4 linked regions of the Caenorhabditis elegans genome follow. The protein of the gene in region 1 interacts with the protein of each later gene in a biochemical or structural test. Each region holds a gene or a part of one and is shown in the gene's direction. Other genes may lie near its edges.

The links.
Region 2: of the proteins of mbk-2 (region 1) and egg-4, one has a biochemical effect on the other in vitro, tested with the Caenorhabditis elegans proteins (one study listed by BioGRID).
Region 3: of the proteins of mbk-2 (region 1) and oma-2, one has a biochemical effect on the other in vitro, tested with the Caenorhabditis elegans proteins (one study listed by BioGRID).
Region 4: of the proteins of mbk-2 (region 1) and meg-3, one has a biochemical effect on the other in vitro, tested with the Caenorhabditis elegans proteins (one study listed by BioGRID).

Annotation. Positions count from the first base shown.
Region 1 is NC_003282.8:13,007,242-13,012,169, forward strand, and holds the start of mbk-2 (Dual specificity tyrosine-phosphorylation-regulated kinase mbk-2), read left to right. Parts: upstream 1-1,916; coding exon 1,917-1,988; intron 1,989-2,218; coding exon 2,219-2,274; intron 2,275-2,395; exon of another isoform or gene 2,396-2,416; intron 2,417-4,928. UniProt on the Caenorhabditis elegans protein: Required for oocyte-to-zygote transition in which it phosphorylates oocyte proteins, including mei-1, oma-1, oma-2, mex-5, and mex-6, modifying their activity and/or stability following meiosis.
Region 2 is NC_003279.8:3,930,479-3,935,318, forward strand, and holds egg-4 (Inactive protein-tyrosine phosphatase egg-4), read left to right. Parts: upstream 1-1,731; 5' UTR 1,732-1,733; coding exon 1,734-1,996; intron 1,997-2,044; coding exon 2,045-2,922; intron 2,923-2,970; coding exon 2,971-3,710; intron 3,711-3,780; coding exon 3,781-4,070; intron 4,071-4,146; coding exon 4,147-4,237; 3' UTR 4,238-4,335; downstream 4,336-4,840. Other genes in the region: T21E3.2 (uncharacterized protein), read left to right, coding at 352-397, 443-581, 628-1,066. UniProt on the Caenorhabditis elegans protein: Inactive phosphatase which acts redundantly with egg-5 in the oocyte-to-zygote transition. Required for the polarization of cortical actin cytoskeleton rearrangement in the oocyte before and after fertilization.
Region 3 is NC_003283.11:8,027,579-8,031,763, forward strand, and holds oma-2 (CCCH-type zinc finger protein oma-2), read left to right. Parts: upstream 1-1,860; 5' UTR 1,861-1,930; coding exon 1,931-1,968; intron 1,969-2,016; coding exon 2,017-2,172; intron 2,173-2,220; coding exon 2,221-2,442; intron 2,443-2,486; coding exon 2,487-2,634; intron 2,635-2,679; coding exon 2,680-2,896; intron 2,897-2,941; coding exon 2,942-3,342; 3' UTR 3,343-3,636; downstream 3,637-4,185. Other genes in the region: F43H9.4 (Glycine N-acyltransferase-like protein), read left to right, coding at 186-327, 384-595, 711-819, 867-928, 977-1,139; vars-1 (valine--tRNA ligase), read left to right, coding at 3,878-3,966, 4,009-4,085, 4,132-4,185. UniProt on the Caenorhabditis elegans protein: Zinc-finger RNA-binding protein that binds to 5'-UA[AU]-3' motifs in the 3'-UTR of maternal mRNAs to suppress translation in oocytes and embryos.
Region 4 is NC_003284.9:1,985,949-1,991,172, reverse strand, and holds meg-3 (uncharacterized protein), read left to right. Parts: upstream 1-1,565; 5' UTR 1,566-1,567; coding exon 1,568-1,625; intron 1,626-1,670; coding exon 1,671-3,192; intron 3,193-3,238; coding exon 3,239-3,349; intron 3,350-3,395; coding exon 3,396-3,542; intron 3,543-3,590; coding exon 3,591-3,725; intron 3,726-3,856; coding exon 3,857-4,146; intron 4,147-4,194; coding exon 4,195-4,520; 3' UTR 4,521-4,704; downstream 4,705-5,224. Other genes in the region: Y40A1A.2 (F-box domain-containing protein), read right to left, coding at 126-180, 227-303, 356-439.

The DNA of each region.
Region 1 (4,928 bases):
CTTACGCAGTCATCCATGTGTTAATAAAAAATACGGCCTACATTCCTGCCTTGTTGTACGCTGGGGGTAGGTACGAGTCATTCGTTGGCAGGCAAATATGCCTACTTACCTCGGACCAACTCAATTTTGAAAATTGGAGAAAAAATTTTAAACACTTACGTGAAAGGTTAAACCGGTTTAGGCAGGGTAAAACCGGTTTAGGCTTTGTTAGGCTTGTGTTAAGGCTTGGGTTTAGGCTTGTGTTTAGGATTGGATTCAGGCTTGGGTTTAGTTTTTTTGTGCTTGCCTACCACATATTTAGTTAATTTTAGCAGAAGCTCTGGTTTTCATTTAGGCTTGCTTTTGCCAAGCAAATATGCCAATTTTCCTCGAGTCTACATACTATGCTAATTGGAAAATTTTTCAAAAAGTAACTTTGCGTGAAACCCAAAATAAACTTACACGGTCATCCACGTGGTATGAAATAAAAATAAATTGCCTTTGTTCAATTATTTTATTACTTTCAATTCTTCTCACTTTTTGCACATTTCGTTAACCGTCTCACAATCAGGAATCCAATGCCAGATAAGTTATTTGTACACAATTAAGCTTCAATAAGAGAGAATTCTCAGGTTTAATCTTAGGCTAGGGTTTAGGTTGCTATAGGATTTTAGATTTGCTATGGGCTTAAGCTTTTGTTTATGATTGGTGTTAGGCTAAGGTTCAAGATAGGGTTGGATTTAGGCTTGAGGCTTGGGGTTAGGCTTGGGTTTAAGTTTGGGTTTAGGCTTGGGTTTAAGCTTGGGTTTAGGCTTGGGTTTAGGCTTGGGTTTAGGCTTGGGTTTAGGCTTGGGTTTAGGTTCAGGTTTAGGCTCAGGTTTAGGCTCAGGTTTAGCCTCAGGTTTAGGCTTGGGCTTAACTTTGAGTTTAGACTTGGGTTTAAGTTTGAGTTTAGGCTTGGGTTTGGGCTTGGGTTTAGGCTTGGGTTTAGGCTTGAGCTTATCCATTCTTGGTCCCTATCCTCTATGCCTTCCCTAACTTCTATTTTTTAAATTTCAGCCTGTTTATTTCTAGACTCCCCTTTTTAATATTTCCTGCCGCTGATCATATGATATCCATATTTTTGCATTTTATATCAGACATCAAAAACTATTAGCATTAAGTTTTCATAAGGCATGCTTTGAAAACATTTGGAATGCGCAAAGATTATGGGAAGAAAGTTTTGGAAAAGTTCAGAAATTTCCCTTACAAGGGGAAGTTGAAAAAAAACCATTTTGGTCGGTGCCAGCTGATGCTCCTCTCGTGACTCTTGATAAGCCAATTGTTAGTCGTAAAAATGGGGAGAAGAACTTTAAAAGTGCGTAAATATCTAGTTATCTCGTTTTCTTATCACTGTTGTCATTGTGCATCTAACGTATTTCGGTTCACTAATAATAAGTTTCACGCTATTTTGTTTTTATATTATATTGTATTTTCAAAGCAAGTTCACTAAAAAGTTTTGCTCCATGCGTTCCAAGCATCCACTGCCTGCCTATCAATTTATCATCGTTCTCCACCCCGTTAGGTGTACCATTCAAAAAACGTTTGTTGCTCCGTACTCTATGTCTCCAATTCCCATATGCTCTTCCACAAACCCGCAACACAACACAAGTTTCTGCAAAAAAAAAATTTGGTGGATTCCTCCTAGAGAGTAAAAGAGAAACAGGGGGAGAAAAACGGACTCTTCCAACATCATTTGCCCCTTTTTCTTATCTGCTCCAACTTGTCCCCACGTTCGGTGAGGTGTTTCTCCCATTGATAACAAAATGTATTTGATCCGATTACCCTCTACTCGTCGTCAACTCTCTTATTACCCCCTACCACAAATTGTATTAAAAAGTACAAAAAATTTTTAGGAATTCTCTCCCAAACTTGCAGCAGTCTAGAGTAGTTGAAGCATGGCTGCTCTTGCCTCGTTCACACGTAACAGTCGAAGTTACGGGCAACAACCGATTGATGTTACACAACAGGTGGGTGTGCTATACCTCTATTAGTAGTGCATGTAATTATAGTTTCAAATTGAAATGGAGTTTGAAAATTTTTAAATTTCTCCTCTGAAAAAGTAAAGATATTGACTTTTTTCTGAACTTTTGTGTGATTTCTTAAATGTTCATTTTTGATATTACTAGTTATTATAGTTCTACTAGGATTATAAAATTCTAAACAAATTGCTCCTAAAATTCAAAAAAAATCATTTCAGGGTCAGCGAGATCGCAGTGTAATGAGTCTGGATGCACAAGGAAGATCAGTTTCACAGTGAGCTTTTGATTCTTTTTCTCTTCAAATTTTTTCTTCAATTTTCCCACTAAACGTATGTAGTTTAAAATATTGCAATTTCGAATTACTTTGAAGTTCTTAAGGAAATTTCTAGAAATATTCAAAAGTCGTGCCTGCAGCAGACGGTCATTTATTTTCCTTGAAAGCCCCCCCCCATTGACCACCATATGGATCCCATTAAACTTTACACCCTGTGGGGTCCTTGAGAAAACTTTTTGATGTTTTTTGTCCATTTATGCTTAACCTGATTAGTTGAAAAGCTGGTGTAAAGGGCCTAATTAGTTGGAAATTGGAACATGTTTTGAAAATCACAATGTATTATTGTAATAGAAATCTAAAGGCGGAACAAGGAAAAAAATCAATGAAAATTGAGATCGAGAACCCTTCTCATTCAATGAAGAGGTGTTTTCTTTTCAATAAAAAGGAGGAGTGGGGGGAGTATTTGTCATCAAGAGTACCCAAGAATGGTATACCAGCGATTTCACAATTAGATTCACAGTCAATCATTTCTTTTTTGATTCAGACCTGTTTGATTTTGCAATTTTAATCAGGATTCAATACATTTTTGTTAAAAATTTTGTTTTTCTCCCACTTTAATAGTTTCAAAACATTCATTTTCTGAAAACAGCTGTTTTAGAATACCTTGAAGCTTACATACTCTAAAACAAAACAGTTAGACCTAAGCTAACGTAGTTTATTGGCATTGGCGTTTGAGTAAGGCGGCCCCGTTGTCTAGTCACAATAGAAAGGGAGTAATGTAAATTGTTAAATTGTTGGTAGGTATATCCTTATGCCTGCCTGCCTGCCTACTGTTTGCTGATTTCCTTTATTTTAAGTTGAACTCTGGCCTTTAGTGTTCACCTCATGTAAGTTTACGCATATTTTATAGTAGACGTAGAGGTCGGTATTTTTTTGGTTAAAAAAAATTTTAAAAAAATCAAATCACTTCCTCAGCCACTTGCAATTTTAAGCGACTTTTCAGTAGAAACTTATGCTTCAATTGAACAATTTTTCAAATCCTATCTCTCGTCGATTTCTCACAATTTTGAATGTAACAACATTTTAAACGAGACACACAAAGTGTAAAAATGCTCAAAGAGTCAATCAGTGTTCCCTTGGCCTTTTTCTCCCTTTACCCTCTCTTCGAAGAAAAATGATAGGAAAATATCCGGGAAGGGAGAATTTAGTTGCACGTCATGATGTTCTCATCAGAAGTTTTTTCCTCCACTTTTTGAAAATGGAACTTTAATGACTCCTTTTGTGCTTGCCCCCTTAACCCTATCCAATTTCAAGACGTTTTCTGATTGTTCTTCGAAGTACGATTTCAATGTGTGTGAGAAGAGGAAAAATGAGATAGATTGTACTTGAAAGTAGACAATTTACAGAAAACGAACATTTTATGGTTTCTTGAAAACAGGTTGATTTTAGAGATTTTTAAGTGTCAAGAGATTTGTTCACTTGAACGAAATAATTATGGAACTTTTTGATCTTGTTAGATTTAGTTAAAAGAAAAATTCGCAAGCCTAAGAGCAAATGTGCAAAAATTTTATTTTGTTCGTTGTGATACAAATGTTGCAGAAAACTATTTTTCCTGAATTTCCATACATCAAGAAATTGACCAAGAAAGGGTTTTTCTACAAATTTTCAGTTTTAATTTTTTTAAACATTGTGAAGGTTCTGTTTGAAAAATTCAAAGTTTGCAAAAAATTTTGCCAATTCGCCAAACCTTGTGCTGAAGTTTTCAGAAAACTACGATATTTTTTTCCAAAAAAAAGCGTTCCTCACAAAAGTACCGTATCAAATGTTGGTCATCAAAAATCCGCACCGAATCTTTCCGATCTTTGTCTCTCTGTATCACTTGTGTTAGTCTTCAGTCCCGCTTTCCCCACCCTCCCCCAGATAAGGTTCTCGCGTTCCCCTATCTATCCCCACACACACACATTTTTATTTTAATTACAAGTACTAATTCGGTAGTGTTTTCTGTTTTCTTTACCTGTATGGTGGAGACTAGGAGGACCTTGCGGTCGGGAAAATGAGGCATCGTAATCAAACCAACCGAGGCAACACACACGCCGGGCCATGATGGAAACAACTCGTAAAAAACCCGTCTTTTCTATTCTTCATCGTTCTTCGCCTCTCTCACAGGGATTCCCTTTTTCATTAGTCGTTAGGAGAGGCTTTCCATACCTTTTATGATTGTATACAGTGATCTACAGATTCTTGAGATGTATGTACAATTTTTTTTTGTTTTTGATCTACCTGGTCAACTCGCAACGATCCTCCGCTAGCTGGCTTTGTGTGTTGTTTAGCACTTTCTGTAGTTTTAGAAATTACTTCCTATTGTGAATGACCAAATTTCCAGTTTTTCAGTAAAAATAAATACTTGTCCTATTTATTGCCAAAATGGTTGGAGCTGTAAAAACATACAGTTTTTGCAATTTTTTTTTTGGCTTTTCTCCGAGATGTCACAGTTTGCAATTTTTAAACTACGGTTTTATAATAGTTGTAAATCAAAAAGTTTACTGTAATTTTTTTTAATTCTCAGTTTTAATTATTAGTTTTTGACTTACTAACAAATTTCGGAGAAATTTTTTTTGATCCGAAACGATCTAACTTTTTCAAATTAAAATTTT
Region 2 (4,840 bases), on another chromosome or scaffold:
ACCTATAAAAATCGAAAAAAAAGAAAGGAAACAACCGAAAATCAATGTTCGAATGAAACATTTGCAATGAAAAAAAAAAAAAGCGTTCGAGAGAGTGAGAGAGTATGAGTGAGGAATGCAACGACGCTCTATTGACAACAAGTAGAAAACATTTTAGAAATTACCAGGTCGGAAAGAAAGAAATTGTTCAGTGAATACAAAATGAGAAATGGAAAAGGAATAAAATTTGAAAACTAAAAATAAAATCCAAAATTGCGGAAATTCAAACGTGTTGTGTAACTTATAAACCGAATTAAAAAAAAGGCCAGTGCAAATCGAAGGTTCAATTATTTCTAGTAATTAATTATAAAAATGGCATGCATTTTTGCTGAATTAATTCTTTTCGTAGTATGGACAGGTATTCCGGCAATTTTAGATTCAAAAGCGCATAACCGTATTTCAGTTATGTTTATTTCGTGCTCTAAAACGAGCCAAGCTTCAAAAGTGGAGGAGAAAAAGCCGAAAACCTCTTCAATCACTACAAAAACCATCACTTCGGCAGATTTGGCTGACAAAACCGATGTCAGCAAAACTTCCACTCCGTAAGATCCTCGAAAATGTTTTATAAACACGAAATAAGCCATTCAGAGTCAGCACGAACTATTCAACTGTGTCAAAAACGATTTCAATGCAAAAAGAAGTCGAGAAGAACCCCAACAGCGCAGAGGACTTCAATGTTAATCGAAAGAAAACTTCGAAATTTCAAATTTCAAAAGAATCTGTAGCAGTTGAAATGAAACCAGATTTCAAGAAAAATAAAGATGTTGGCGGCAAAAAGGAAAAAGCAAAATCAGCGGAAAAACCGAACAAGAAAGAAATCACTCCGCCACAAACCATCAAGAAAACGTCAATGGAGAAGGCTGGAAAGGAAGAAGATGTGAAGTGTGATGAGGAAGTTTCAAGAAATAATATGGAAAGATCTGATCGAACTCTTCATTTTTCGAAGAAAATGATTCGTGGCCCCGTGAAGCCTGAAGAACAGATGGAAGTCGAACCAACTCCGTTATCTTGGAAAGGAGGACCATGAAACTTGATTGAATAAATTTTATTATGAAAAAAGTGAAAATATGCAATTAAATAACACAAAAAAACGCATAAGATTCAAAGAAAACAAAAAATTTCGAAAGAAAAATCAATTCGAAAAGTTTCGCGTACATTGCATGTCAATTGACGCAAAAGTGCACACATTATTTGTTACCGTACCTTTGTTGTTCTCATTTTTTGAAAGTCACCGCTTCGATCCTCACCATGAGCATAATCGGATTTTCCGTATATTTAATGTTTATAAACAATTTTTAAATAATATATTTAATTTTATGTAATTAAATTTGCGTTTTCCGTTGTAAATAGTGCGAGATACGGTACGCGAAAAAAGTACGCAAGTGCACACATTATCTTTTACCGTACCTTTGATCTTCACAGATTTGCTCTACGATTTTGGAAGAGCGCGAAATTTTGTATTTTTCCGCTCAGCGAAATTGTTTTCTGGTATGCGCATCCGAAATTTTTCTTTCTTTTTTCTCCTAGAAAATCGGTTTTTGTTCGTTTAGGTGCTTTAATAGTGTTTTTCGCAGTTATTTTATGGAATCGCCCGCATACTCGACTAATTTCCATTTCGTTTCCTCCTAAAATCTTTTTTTCTGTCTCTTCTGCTCTTAAATAATTATTAGCTTAAGCTCATTAATTTTCCAGGTATGGCGTTGAACAGCGAAGTGATGTTCCGCGAGCAAATCAACGCGATGCGCTCACAAGCTGGCCGGAAGCGTGCGACGTCGCTTCAAAGCTTCTGCTCCGGAAACACCGACGACTCCTCGGCGGATAGCACCGATAACATGGATATGATGGTGGATTATCCTCAACAAAAGGGAGTGAGCTGCATGAGAGCCAGATTCAACAGCGAAAGCACGCTCAGCAAGAGTTTCCGGAAGAAAGTGAAGAAGCTCGCTCAGAAGGACAGGTATTTTGAGATTCTTAAGTATTAGAAAATTAATATTCTATGTTGCAGAAGATCCAAGGAGCGTCTGAACGGAAACTCGGAAGAGGATGCGATTGAAGTCCCACGTGGTGCTCCGTCTACTTATGCAGCTCCATCGAAATTGCGGAAATCCAAAGCTCTCGACTGTCTTGTCTCCGAGAAACCAAAGGACGAAGGAAGACGCGAGGATTCCGGGCATGGAGCCGACATTGAGATGGCAAAGGGACACTTCAACAATGTTCGGATGAAAGTGTTTGCCGCCCGAACTGCGATGCAAGTGGAGCCGGCGTTGGTCATGAAGACTCGGAAAGCATTGGAGATGAAGAATGCTGTCCTAGAAAATCATCAATCGCCAGGAGCTTTCTCTCTTCATGCAGCCTACAAAATTGCAGCTTCTGCAGAATCCCGTGTTGGATCGATTACTCCATGCAATAAGAAGGTGACAAAGGAAGCAATGGCTAATTTGATTCGTTCAAGTTATGATGACACCGAGATCACTCAAGAGCTGCTTTTCTCTTCAAAGTTCGACACGAAATGGAAGGGTCGATACACAGACATCTACATGCGTCGGGATGAGAATGGAAAGAAGCCAAAGCGTCCAGTGAACGGTCAAGGATGGGTGATGCCGTTGAAAAGCATCTGTGAGAAGTTCGGAATCAACTCAACTTTCTTCACAAATCATCGCATCGATCTGAAATCCGCAAGAGATCAGGTGCTTCTGATGCGCCTTCTTTCACATGATCAAACCAGCACATGGATTTCGGATATTCATCCAGAAGCCGTCAAGAATGAGACAATGGCTGAATACCTACTTCGTGAACTCGACGCTTCTACGATGCAAAAGCGAGTTCAAGCTTTCAAGGCAAATGTTCTTGCTGACAGAGACCGAGTTCGTGTTGCTGGACAGTGTAAGAAAATAAATTATTATTTTCCTTAATTAATTAACTTTTTTTCAGTCTACAACAACATTCGAATCGGAAAGCGGATGTTTGGAGCAGCGAGAAAAGCGAAGTATCTGTCAACCATCATCGGAGGAATGGAGCGACGCTTTGAAATCCTCGAGAACTCGGTCAACCACATCCCATTCACTCACTCAGCTTCAGACAACAACCAGGAAAAGTGCCGTAATCCACGTGTTCACTGCAAGGATTCCACTCGAATCGCTCTCCAATTCCCACGCGGTCAGTATCTCGGAGATTTCATTCACGCAAATCGGATTTCTGGAAAGCCGCTGTTCAATGAGTTCATCATGACTCAAGCTCCAATGAAGAACACCGTTGATGATTTTTGGAGAATGGTTTGGCAGGAGGAAGTTCCATACATTGTGATGCTAACCAGCAGAAAGGAACCGGAAAGATGTGAATATTACTGGCCAAAATCTCCGTCGGATCCCGCCGTTACTGTTCCTGGTGGACTTCGAATCGAGAACTTTGGTGTCTATCAAGCTCCAGACCCATTGTTCCGTGTCACTCATCTTCGTCTCATTGGACCGGATCGCGAGGAACGTCACGTGGAACATTGGCAAGGAGACGTGAACAATTCATCGAATATGTACTCTCCATTAAATATTCTTCGTTTACTTCGCAACGCGTCGAAGCCAGTCGTTATCCATGATCATTTGGGAGTTTCTAGAGCGGCTTGTCTTGTTGCTGCCGAGATTGCCATTTGCAGTTTGCTCCGAGGGCCAACTTACAAGGTTTGTATCAGAATTTAGTGACTTTTTAAGTTGGAAATGGTGAAATCAATTCAATTAAACACATTTTCAGTACCCAGTACAACGAGCTGTCCAATTTCTTCGTCAGCGCCGTCCATTCAGCATCGAGACTCCCATGCAGTACATCTTTGTGCATCGTCTTGTTGCATTCTTCTTCCGTGACGTCATTGGAAGTGCAAAGGAGTTGGATGTCGATTATGAAAGATGGCTCCAAGAACGATCCGAACGCATGTTCCTTGATGATCTTGCTGCTCCAATTCCTGGCTATCGTTTGCTGTCTCCAAGAGCAGATCCAGACATTGTTCGAATGGTTGGAAGACCGGAACGACCAAACTACAGACGGTATGTTTTATTTTACATATTTAAAAAATTATTCGAATTGAATTAATTCTCTTTCTAAAAATGTTTTATTTTTCAGTGAGGCACCCGATTGCGTTGGAGAGATGCCAAACAAGGTGGCGACTGTCGACGGGATCCTTTCACCAGCGAAGAGCGTCTTCGAATTCTAATTATCATGTATACTAAACCTCCACTCACTATTATTATTTTTATTTAGAACATTCTGTGAAATATTGCATGATACTGTATAAAATGCATTTTAACTGTCAACTAATGTTTACGAATTCAACACCGAAATTAAAAATGGATTTTTTGTTTTGTTAAATTAGGAATTGAATTTACAGATTGGAAGATCTTTTGGGTATATGGTTCTTGACTGTCGAAGTGGATATGAAAGAGACCCGGCGAATCGGGGGGATTGCTGGCGGCGGGGGATCCGGATCGGGGGGATTGCCACGCCCATAGAACCGTGCGGAAATTCAAATTTCCTCCGCACAGTTAATTTTTTTCTAAGTCTTTCAATCCCTAACATCTCTCAACTTTTGTTTTTTGAAACCGTGCGGAAGTTGCGAAATTTGAATTACCGCACGGCTATATGGGCGTGGCCAATCCCCCCGATTGGGGTCCCCCGCCGCCGGCAATCCCCCCGATTCGTCGGGTCTATGAAGCTCATGTCGCGTGCCTACAGACCCAGTTAGAACATGTTTTAACAGTCAACTACGGTTTAAGAATTCAAAACTTAATTGGTTATACCAGCTTAAAAAGAAACAGAA
Region 3 (4,185 bases), on another chromosome or scaffold:
TATCTTCACTCATGTTTTTCCGATTCGACCGTAATATTTGATAAGATCAAACATTTCCATGACAATCCATTCCTAAACCAGTTTTTCTTCATTTTCAAAAACATTTTTCAGTATCACTAAAGACCTTTTCCCACCTTTTGCTATCTCTTTTTTTCAATTCGAAATTGACCTTCGCACCTTTTCAGAGACCGTCAAATTCTGACACACGATGGAAAGTTTCGAGAAGAAGACTTTCTGGCGGTTTTTGATGAATTCTGTAAAACAAATGGATTGTTTGCTGGCTCCAATGCTCCATCAACTGTAGCCGAGAAATGTTACACTAAAGCGGTAATACACAATGAAAACAGAACAAAGGTTAATAGATAAGAAACGTTTGATTTTAGATTGAAAAGTACATGAAGAAAAACAATATTAATGCAGAGGTGCAAAACAAATCAACACACTTTTTTGCAATGAATGAAAGTCAAATTTTCAAATATAGAAATTATGGTGATACAACATTACCTGATGGATACTCAATTGATATACCTGAATCAACAAATGATGTTATGAAGATTGTAGGATCATCTATCACACCAAATGCAAAATTAGTAGAGTGAGTTTTTGGATCAGGAAATTAAAAACCAACAGTACTAGATTTATATCATTTTCTCACAAAATCGAGAAATCGTAAAACAACAGTTACATGGAAAAATAGGAATTTTTTTCAGAGAAAAACTTCGACGGTTCCCATCGCTCTGCGTTCGTAAAGGCGACGAACTTGTTGGATTCATTTCTTCAGAAACTCACGGAGCACTTGCTCATTTGCATGTCTTTGATGTGAGTTTTACTATTTTCAAATTGAATATTTTCAAATCTGTTTTTAGGGGCATCGTGGTAAAAATCTTGGAGAGAAGTTGGAGATTGGAGCTGCTAAAATGGCTATTGAGTGAGTGATTTTTTGACAAAGGACTGTGGAAAAATGATAATATTTTAGAAATGGAATGCGTCCATGCAAGTTCATCGACACAACAAACAGTTTCTTCTTGGAAAAAGCAAAAAAGTCAAAGTTGATGGATGTTGTTGAGTCCAATGGAACACCGCTAGTTTTCGACCAAAATGTTTATTCCCAGGCGTCAAATTATGGAATGCACAAGTGATTTTAATAGGAATACAATGAACTTACAATAAATCAAATATACATGTAAATATTGAATAAAAATTCGAATACCTTCCAGCAAGTATATTTGCAAAGTAATGTTCTTTTACAGCTAGATTTTGGTCAGACAGTGTTGTTGAAAATTTTTTAGTCGAGAAAATCTAGTTATTCGCTGTTTATGAGTTACTTTTTCAGACAATTACACAATTTCCATGCTTGCTAAAAAAAAATTATTAGTTACAGTAACCTTTAAAGGCGCAGCAGCGGGGAGTGCACATCTCAAACGAGTGTGACCGTAGTCATTGGTGAAAATTGGCAACATTTTCTTGCAAGTTTTTTGACTTTGATTCAACCATAAATTTCAGACTTAATTCTAAACTTAAGTATTAAAAAATAATTATTTGATCTTATTTAGCGCGCATTGCCGCCAAACATTGACTTTTTGTTTCGAAATTTTGGGACAGAGATGGTTTTCTTCAGTTTTCTTTTGTTCAACAACATTTGGTTCTGTTCATTCATTTATTTCATTCAGAAGGATTTTGGCCCGTTTATTTGAATTTTAAAAGAGCTTATTTCTGAATTACGTCGCTTAAAACAATAATTTTATACCGTTTTGGCGCATTCGTTTTTTCTCGTTAAAAACTTATTTCTTTCATTCTTTAGACGGTTGTTATTCATTGCTCGCGGAATCTTACCATTTTTAAAATTTCTTTAAATTTCAGGGAATCAATTAACCGAGCACCCCACGCCTAATCACTAACCACCCATTTCCCCTGCACTACTAACGAAATAATGGATATGCTCAAGGAAAATGTTATCCAGAATAATGAGTGAGCCACTTTTATCATAGTTTCTCAATTTTAATTTTCTTTTTTAAGGGCTCGTACAGAGTCGAGTGTTGAACCATCGCATCCCGATATGATGGAGACTGTTCCGGAAGAACAGCAAAAACCGATTTCTCATATCGACGATTTGCTTTCCGAGACCGCTAACCTGATGGCTGTCAAGGAGCAGCTTCTCAAGGAGATTGCTGAGTAATTCTATAGGATAAATGGACTGTTTCTTAAATTTTATCTTCTCAGAAACGAGCATATTCATTCGATGCAAATGAGAGCTCTTCAAAATCTTCCACAGGAAGCTATTCTCCCACTGCAATATCATGCTGATCCAAGACGCCGTCACCGAATGCAAAAACCGGAATCGTACAAGACTGTCATATGTCAGGCTTGGTTGGAGTCGAAGACATGTGCTTTCGCGGAGAACTGTCGTTTTGCTCACGGCGAAGAGGAGCTTCGTCCATCTCTGTTGGTTTGAACATTGAATTAAGATTACACAACATATTTTACAGGATCGAGGCACGTCAAAACAATAAGTACCGGACGAAGCTCTGCGATAAGTACACTACTACTGGGTTGTGCCCATATGGAAAACGCTGTCTTTTCATTCATCCGGACAATGGACCAAATGCATACATTCGAGCCGATAAATTGTTCGAGGTAAGATAACTTTTTAATTTTCCACTTTAATCAAATCTTCAACAGGTTTCGCAACGTCATGCTTTGGCCGACCTTCGCGATCAAATGGAGCATCATATCATGAATGGAGGTCGTTCTACAGCCGGCCCTCAACAATTTGATATGTTTGCAAGGCCATGCACACCAGATGAGCCAGCAGCAAATATGCCATTGGGTCCAACCCCAGTTAGCATTCGTGGACCACGATACGAGTTGCCATCGAAGAAGCCACTTGAGACTGAGGGTATGAAAATTGAATATTGATGATTAATTCAAAATAATTTTACAGAAGCCGGGAATCGCCCACCATCAAGCTGGCCGTTGGATCCATCAACTTTCTTCGCATTGGATAGTCTGAATATGGCAACTCGTCCAATCAGTCCGTTTGAGTCTATGCTTATTGGAGCAGCCGGGAACATGCAATACTCTATGCTTGGAAAACAATCAACACCGGGAGGAGTTTCGGGATATTCTTCCTCTGGATCAACTCCGTCTCAAGATAGTGATTCGTCTCCACTCACAGCTGCTTCTGCTGCTGCAGATGCTGCCTGCCAAGCCAACTCGGAGTCTGCTCAGTCTATTCTTCTGAAGTCTATCAACAATCCGATGATTGGAAACGAGACAACTCTTCCAATTCCTGGACTTGATCAACTTGCCATGGACATTGCCAAGCACCTTGAATTGTGGTGAATAACCACCTCCTTCCCCATCTATTTATACATTTTGTCAAATTGCCATACGTTTTTATGTCCCATACTAACTATAATAACGCGCGCAATTTGTAAATATAATAAGCTCAATGTTCCTGTCATATAGAAAGCACGCTCGCTCCCCCCATCTCTCGCAGGCTCTGAAACTAAACTTGAATTATTTTGCTGCATTTTATTATATCGGATATCATTGCATGTATTTTCAATTCCCTCCAAATATAAATTGCTCGTATCCTCTCCCCACACTAACAATCAATAAACTTTATCGAATGTCAATCAATGTTTTTGAAGACCATCTGGAAATAACGTTTTTTCACGAAGATATCTGATTTTCAATTATAGAATTGCAAAATAATTTCTGAAATGTTTCGTTTGACAAAAAAATATTTTTTAATCTTCCCTCCAATTAGTTTCGCGACAGGGCGCATTTGCTTCGTCCAGACGAGCGTTAATTTTTCAACAGATTGAGCGCATTCTTTCTTTTAAATTATTGTTTGTGGTTTCAGGTGAAATAAATGGGTAAATTGAATCGATTAGCACTTTTTCATCGTTCAAGAAGGCAATGTGCTTACTCACCGACAATTATTACACGTGAAAGTAGTAGGTAAACGATAAACTAAGAAAATAAAATAACTAATTTTTTCAGCTCCTTTAACATCGACGAGGTAACACAAAATTTTGAACAAAGAACAGAGTTTGCCGCTGCAAATTATCGAAAGAATGGTCAGATTTCCTTGATAATAGTTCTAGGCAAAAAAATATTTTTCAGGCAGTCTATTTCGTATGGTTTTACCCCCGCCAAACGTAACTGGTAAACTGCATT
Region 4 (5,224 bases), on another chromosome or scaffold:
AATACATGTCTTCTGAAGTCTCTATAGCAATCACTTTGCTTGAAAATAAATCACTAGGATTTCGGAATGGTGGTAGATCAACATGGAAAACACGGTTGTCGATAAGAAGTTTGTAGATTTTTCGATTAATTTTTTTTAAATCTACATCTGGTTTCACCAGAATTTTTTGATAGTTCTATTCTGAAAACAATAGACATTTAGATAATTAAAACCTACTTCAACTCACACTTCAGTCAACTTCAATTGATGTATAATATTCCGAAATGCAGGATACGGTAAACCAAGTAGGTGAAAGGGTTGAATCTAAAAAATCAATAAAATTAAACGAAAAACTGTAAAATACATATGTTCTTGCCTTGTTTGACGGGGTCCTGATACCTCGACGTTTAAAAAATCTCAGACAAATAAATGAGGAGAGTTGTGAAATAAAGGAGCTCATACCAAATGGTAACTCAAATATGTAATCGAAAAAAAAAAACACTGAGCAGACTAACGGAGCAGGCGAGCGTCTAAATGGTATAATCGATACATAGAAAGTGGTTATAAATCCTCCAAGTGTGTGACATCATACATTGTGCACAATGTAGCAGTAGCTATAGTAGCAGGAAATTAGTAACATTAGATCTATCCTGTTTGAAAGCATCAATGTCGATGAGTTGTTTTTTAAATTAAAAAACCATCGAGAATAATTTGAAAAATAAAATATGAATAATCTGAAGTCCCAAGGAATACCAAATTTCTACTTGAAGATTCTCAGTTTTTGTAACTTTTTAGAAGTCTTCGATCAAAAAAAATCCTTTGAATAGACATTTTTTCATATTTTTATGAATTAATAATGTTAAGAATCCTTATTAGTTTGGGATATCCAAACATTTTTTAAAATTTATGTTAAAAAACAAAAGATTTCAATGTTCTATATAAAGCAGTTTTTATTACTTTCCAGGTACTTAGTATTCCTATATTAAAATAATTTTAAAAAATTTCAAAACTCTGCACAAATCCGTTTTTGGAGCTATTTTAACGACCCTTTACATCTCGTTTTCAGGAATTCAGGATTATGTTCCGCCGTTTCTTTTAAAAAGTTTGAGATAAAAAATTATTTTAGTTTTGATTTTTCGCTTACAGGTTTTCTAATTAACATCTCCTTTACTGCCTATTATCCTGTTTCTTTTTATAAATTTATTCTTCTCATTTATTATTCAGTGATTATCCAATATTTTAGAGAATTAACTATCAATCCAATTGTTCCTCAAAACTCCATAGTCTTGGATAGTCTTGAAAACTGATCGATACCATGCAAACGGTGTGTGTTGTTTTGTTGATTCCCTGCCGCATTTGAACTATTTTTTCACCGCGCGCACGCATCGCCCCTGTCCGTCTCGCCACACACTATTTCCGCGCGCTCTTTCTCTACCTCTCACACTCTCTCAATCTCCCTAACTCAAGTGTTCATTCTTGTTGCGTGGTCCCACCGGTTTGCATTTTTTCATCTCTGTCTTTCTTTTTCGTTGTATTTTTTTAAATTTCATTTATTTCAATATTTCATTAAGTTTTGATTTTTGCAGGTATGAGTTCCTCAAAACCTTACCCAAGCGGTCTGCCAAACTCGAGAAGAAAAAGAGGAGGTGAGAGTTTTTTGCATCAATTTTTCATTCAATTTGTAAATTCAGGTCGCCGCTCAAGTAGTCGTAGCAATCAGGAAAGTGCATCCAACAACATGGAACACCAAATCACTCTTGACGAATTGTTCAATCCGATCGCAAAACAAGACAGTGCTCAGTCAACAAGCCGTGAATATGGTGCAAAATCGGGGATATCTCATCACGGATCCGTATCATTCAACGGGAATACATTCATGAATGGCCAACAGCTGAATCACTCGATGACTCGACATGGTCGAGTATTCAATCAGTCGATGCATGCAGCTCAAGGAAACGGCAGCAACGCCTTTAACAGTATTCCTCCTACGGCCCCCGTCTTCTCTGCAGACTTCCGCCGCAACTTGCAAACACGCAATAGCTCCAGCTGGTATGAACGAAGATTCCCAGTATCCACAGATCAGGACGACGTTCAGCAATCAAACACAAGACGTAGTAGAAGTCGTCAGAATGGACAACATGGCCTAAGCTTCTCGGATGGTTCGAACAATTATGGTCACGCTGGGAATAAGTCATTCAGTGTGAGTTCCGTTCCCGTTGGGTTCCAGAAGCAAGAAAATAATTCTAAGAAACTGCGACAAACCAATGTTCACCAGCAATGTCTTGGAAATAAAAGCTTCAACGCTCAAGCTGGAGTTCATGGACACGCTTTTAAAAAAGGCCATAAGGACAATAAAAATGCATCTGGAAAGGAGGTTATCAATTCTAGTCTTGTCCAAAAGCACGATGCTATTAAGTCGCGGAATTTGAACCAGAGCTTCTCTGGATTTCCTACACATGAAACCTCATCGATGAAAAATCAACAACAGAAATCAAGAAACGACAGAAAAAAATCACGTGGTAGCAGCAACTTCCAGGATCGTACTTACTTCAACACAAATGACGATGAATTAACTGACGATGTGTTCATAGACGATTCCATGGATGCTGCCCGTGGTCGGAGATCTCGATCAGTCACTAAGAAACTTCAACAATCGACTTATTCAAAGCAGAATGCAGGCAGTAAACAATTGACTGAAAAATGCAAATCTTCTGAAGAAGCGGCTAAACGTAACCTGGTATCCAATGTATTCAGCAAGGACGGCACTGAACTCTCCATTGAACAGTTATTGGAAATTGTCAGCATGAAGATCGGACAACAGATTCACTTGCCTTCCAGCTCTCATGGAGAATGCAGCAATTTGAATCGGACATTACCAGCAAGTGATCTAAATTGCTCAATTGGTGAAGACTTTGACTCCAGTTTTGTGGATGCTAACAACCAAACCCTACCAGTGAGTCTTCCCAAGAAAACTTCACTGTCGATCAAGCGCCGTGGAAGTTCTCGTAGTGCCTCCCGTCTGGCCAGTCTTGATGTGACACTGGAAACTGTTGAAGAAGACGAGGAACCCACGCCAAGTCCACAGCCGAGTTCTCCTCCAAAGATCTCAAGAAGAAAGTGGACAGGAACTTTTGATGCCAACGTTGAGGAAATGAGACGTTTACTTCATGGGGACCCTGAGATGCCGAAATCTGCAAATCGTGCTTCCTCAAGGTATGTAGTGAAATAGTAAAATCTTTAGTAAAAATTTAAATTTCAGCAAGGATCAGATCAATCGGAACAATGTGGATGTAAAGAGAACACCTTCCTCGTCAATCATCCCAACTCCAAAGGCTTTGATCGGAGAAAGATGTCTGACATCATCCAGCAAGTTAGTTTTACACTTGGAGCTTCTTATTTCATTATATTTTTTACAGGTCTTCAAAGTTGAACAAGTCACTTGGCGTGGTTGATTCTAAAGCTACAAAATCACCAATGTATTCCGTCACAGTTTCTGGAAAAGAAACAGCTTCAGGAAAGCGAATTGCTCAAAAGTTGACTCCAAAGGTTGTGGCGCTGGAAAGGTATGACTTTACAAAAAACGAACAACATTTCCATATTTTCTTTTCCAGCTCTTACATTACCGGAATTCCAGTTTCCACGGATTGTAATGGTTGCCCAACTCCGAAGAGAAGTGGAATCAATTGTGAAATTCGTGCAGCTGAAGTATACAATCAAGCTGGGAAATGGCCCTTCGAAATCACCAGGTAAGGTCCAAGTTAATAAATCCGCTATCGATCAAGCATATGGAAAATAATGTACAAGCTGAAAAGATTGAGCTCAAAACTTGATTCAAATCCTGTAAAATTATTTTCTGAGTACAGTAAATTTCTTTCAGTGATCCGGCTCCACTTCCTTGTGAATCAGCCGATCGGATCGAATATCCTTCTCAAGATTGCACTCAAGATCCAGCTTCAACCTCGCCACCACCTCGCATTTCTGAAAGCTTGACAGCATTCCTGGAAGCTCAGCAAGACTTTAACGACTACATTGATACTAACTACAAAGAAAAGACACAACTCCTGAAAGTGAATTTGAATATTCACGGGATGTCACCTGAAAGATGGCTGTACTTGAATTATTTTTGCACCGAGACAATTCCAAGATTGGATGGTCCTTATGCCGATGGTAAGAAAGATAAGACATATTTAATCTTGAAAACTTTAATTTTTTCAGATCCAAGAGTTCCACCTGTGCGAAATATGTTCAGAAAATGGTTCCTCCGTTTTGCTGAAGCCTGCTTAGGAAATCCTCACCAGCTTGCAGTTATGCAAGAGATTGCTGCCACGTTTGTTCAGGCTCGGCTGGACGATACGAGCAGCTCCACAGACTCCACCAATATGCTCTACATGTTGTGGAAGGAGTGTATCGGACAGAAGAATATCATCGCAATTGCTGATGCGTGTTTACTTGCACATCTTCGGAAATCGGATCCTATCAAATACTTGAATGTAAAACGGGATTGGCTGGAATCTATTTTTGACCCACCCAGAGATCAATGATTGTACCAATTTATATCTATTACTTGTAGACTATATTGTATGTTATTCTTGTTCATTAACCCTTTATCCACTCTTGTTATATTTCAACTCGCTTCTCCTTGTGAATTTGTATTATGTCTACCCAGATACTTGTAGAGGGTAGTATTATATTGTTGTCTGGATGATTGATAAAGAATTGCCGATTCTTTAAGATTTGGAGTGGAACTAGAATAAAAGAAAAGTTCGAAATAGATTTAAGAAAAGATGATTGGTAACTGATTTGAAAATATACATATCTTCTCATAGATCTTTTTTGTGAAATTTAAATACTGTCATTAGGCAAAATAGTAGTCACGGATTCAATTTTAAAACAGATGCTTCAGATTTGTTTGGAAAAGTTCCGTTTTTTAATACAGGGTGGGCCATAATTATGCGCACTACTTTGAAGCTTCATAAAACCAAAACAAAAAACACATTAAACAAATAATCATATAGGTTTTGTTCTCCGAGAAAAACTAAATAAGATACCATTTTTGAATTCGAAAATATCACCGTCCGCATTGCTACAGGCCTTCACAAGTTTCGGAAACGCACCAACGATGGCGGACAAGTAGGCACGCTTCAGGGTTTTTCATGTTTTTCTCGGAGGACTCATTAGTTATCAAGTAAAATTTAAAGTTCAAAGAATGCTCTTGATTCAGAGATGCTTCACACAAAAAATCTAA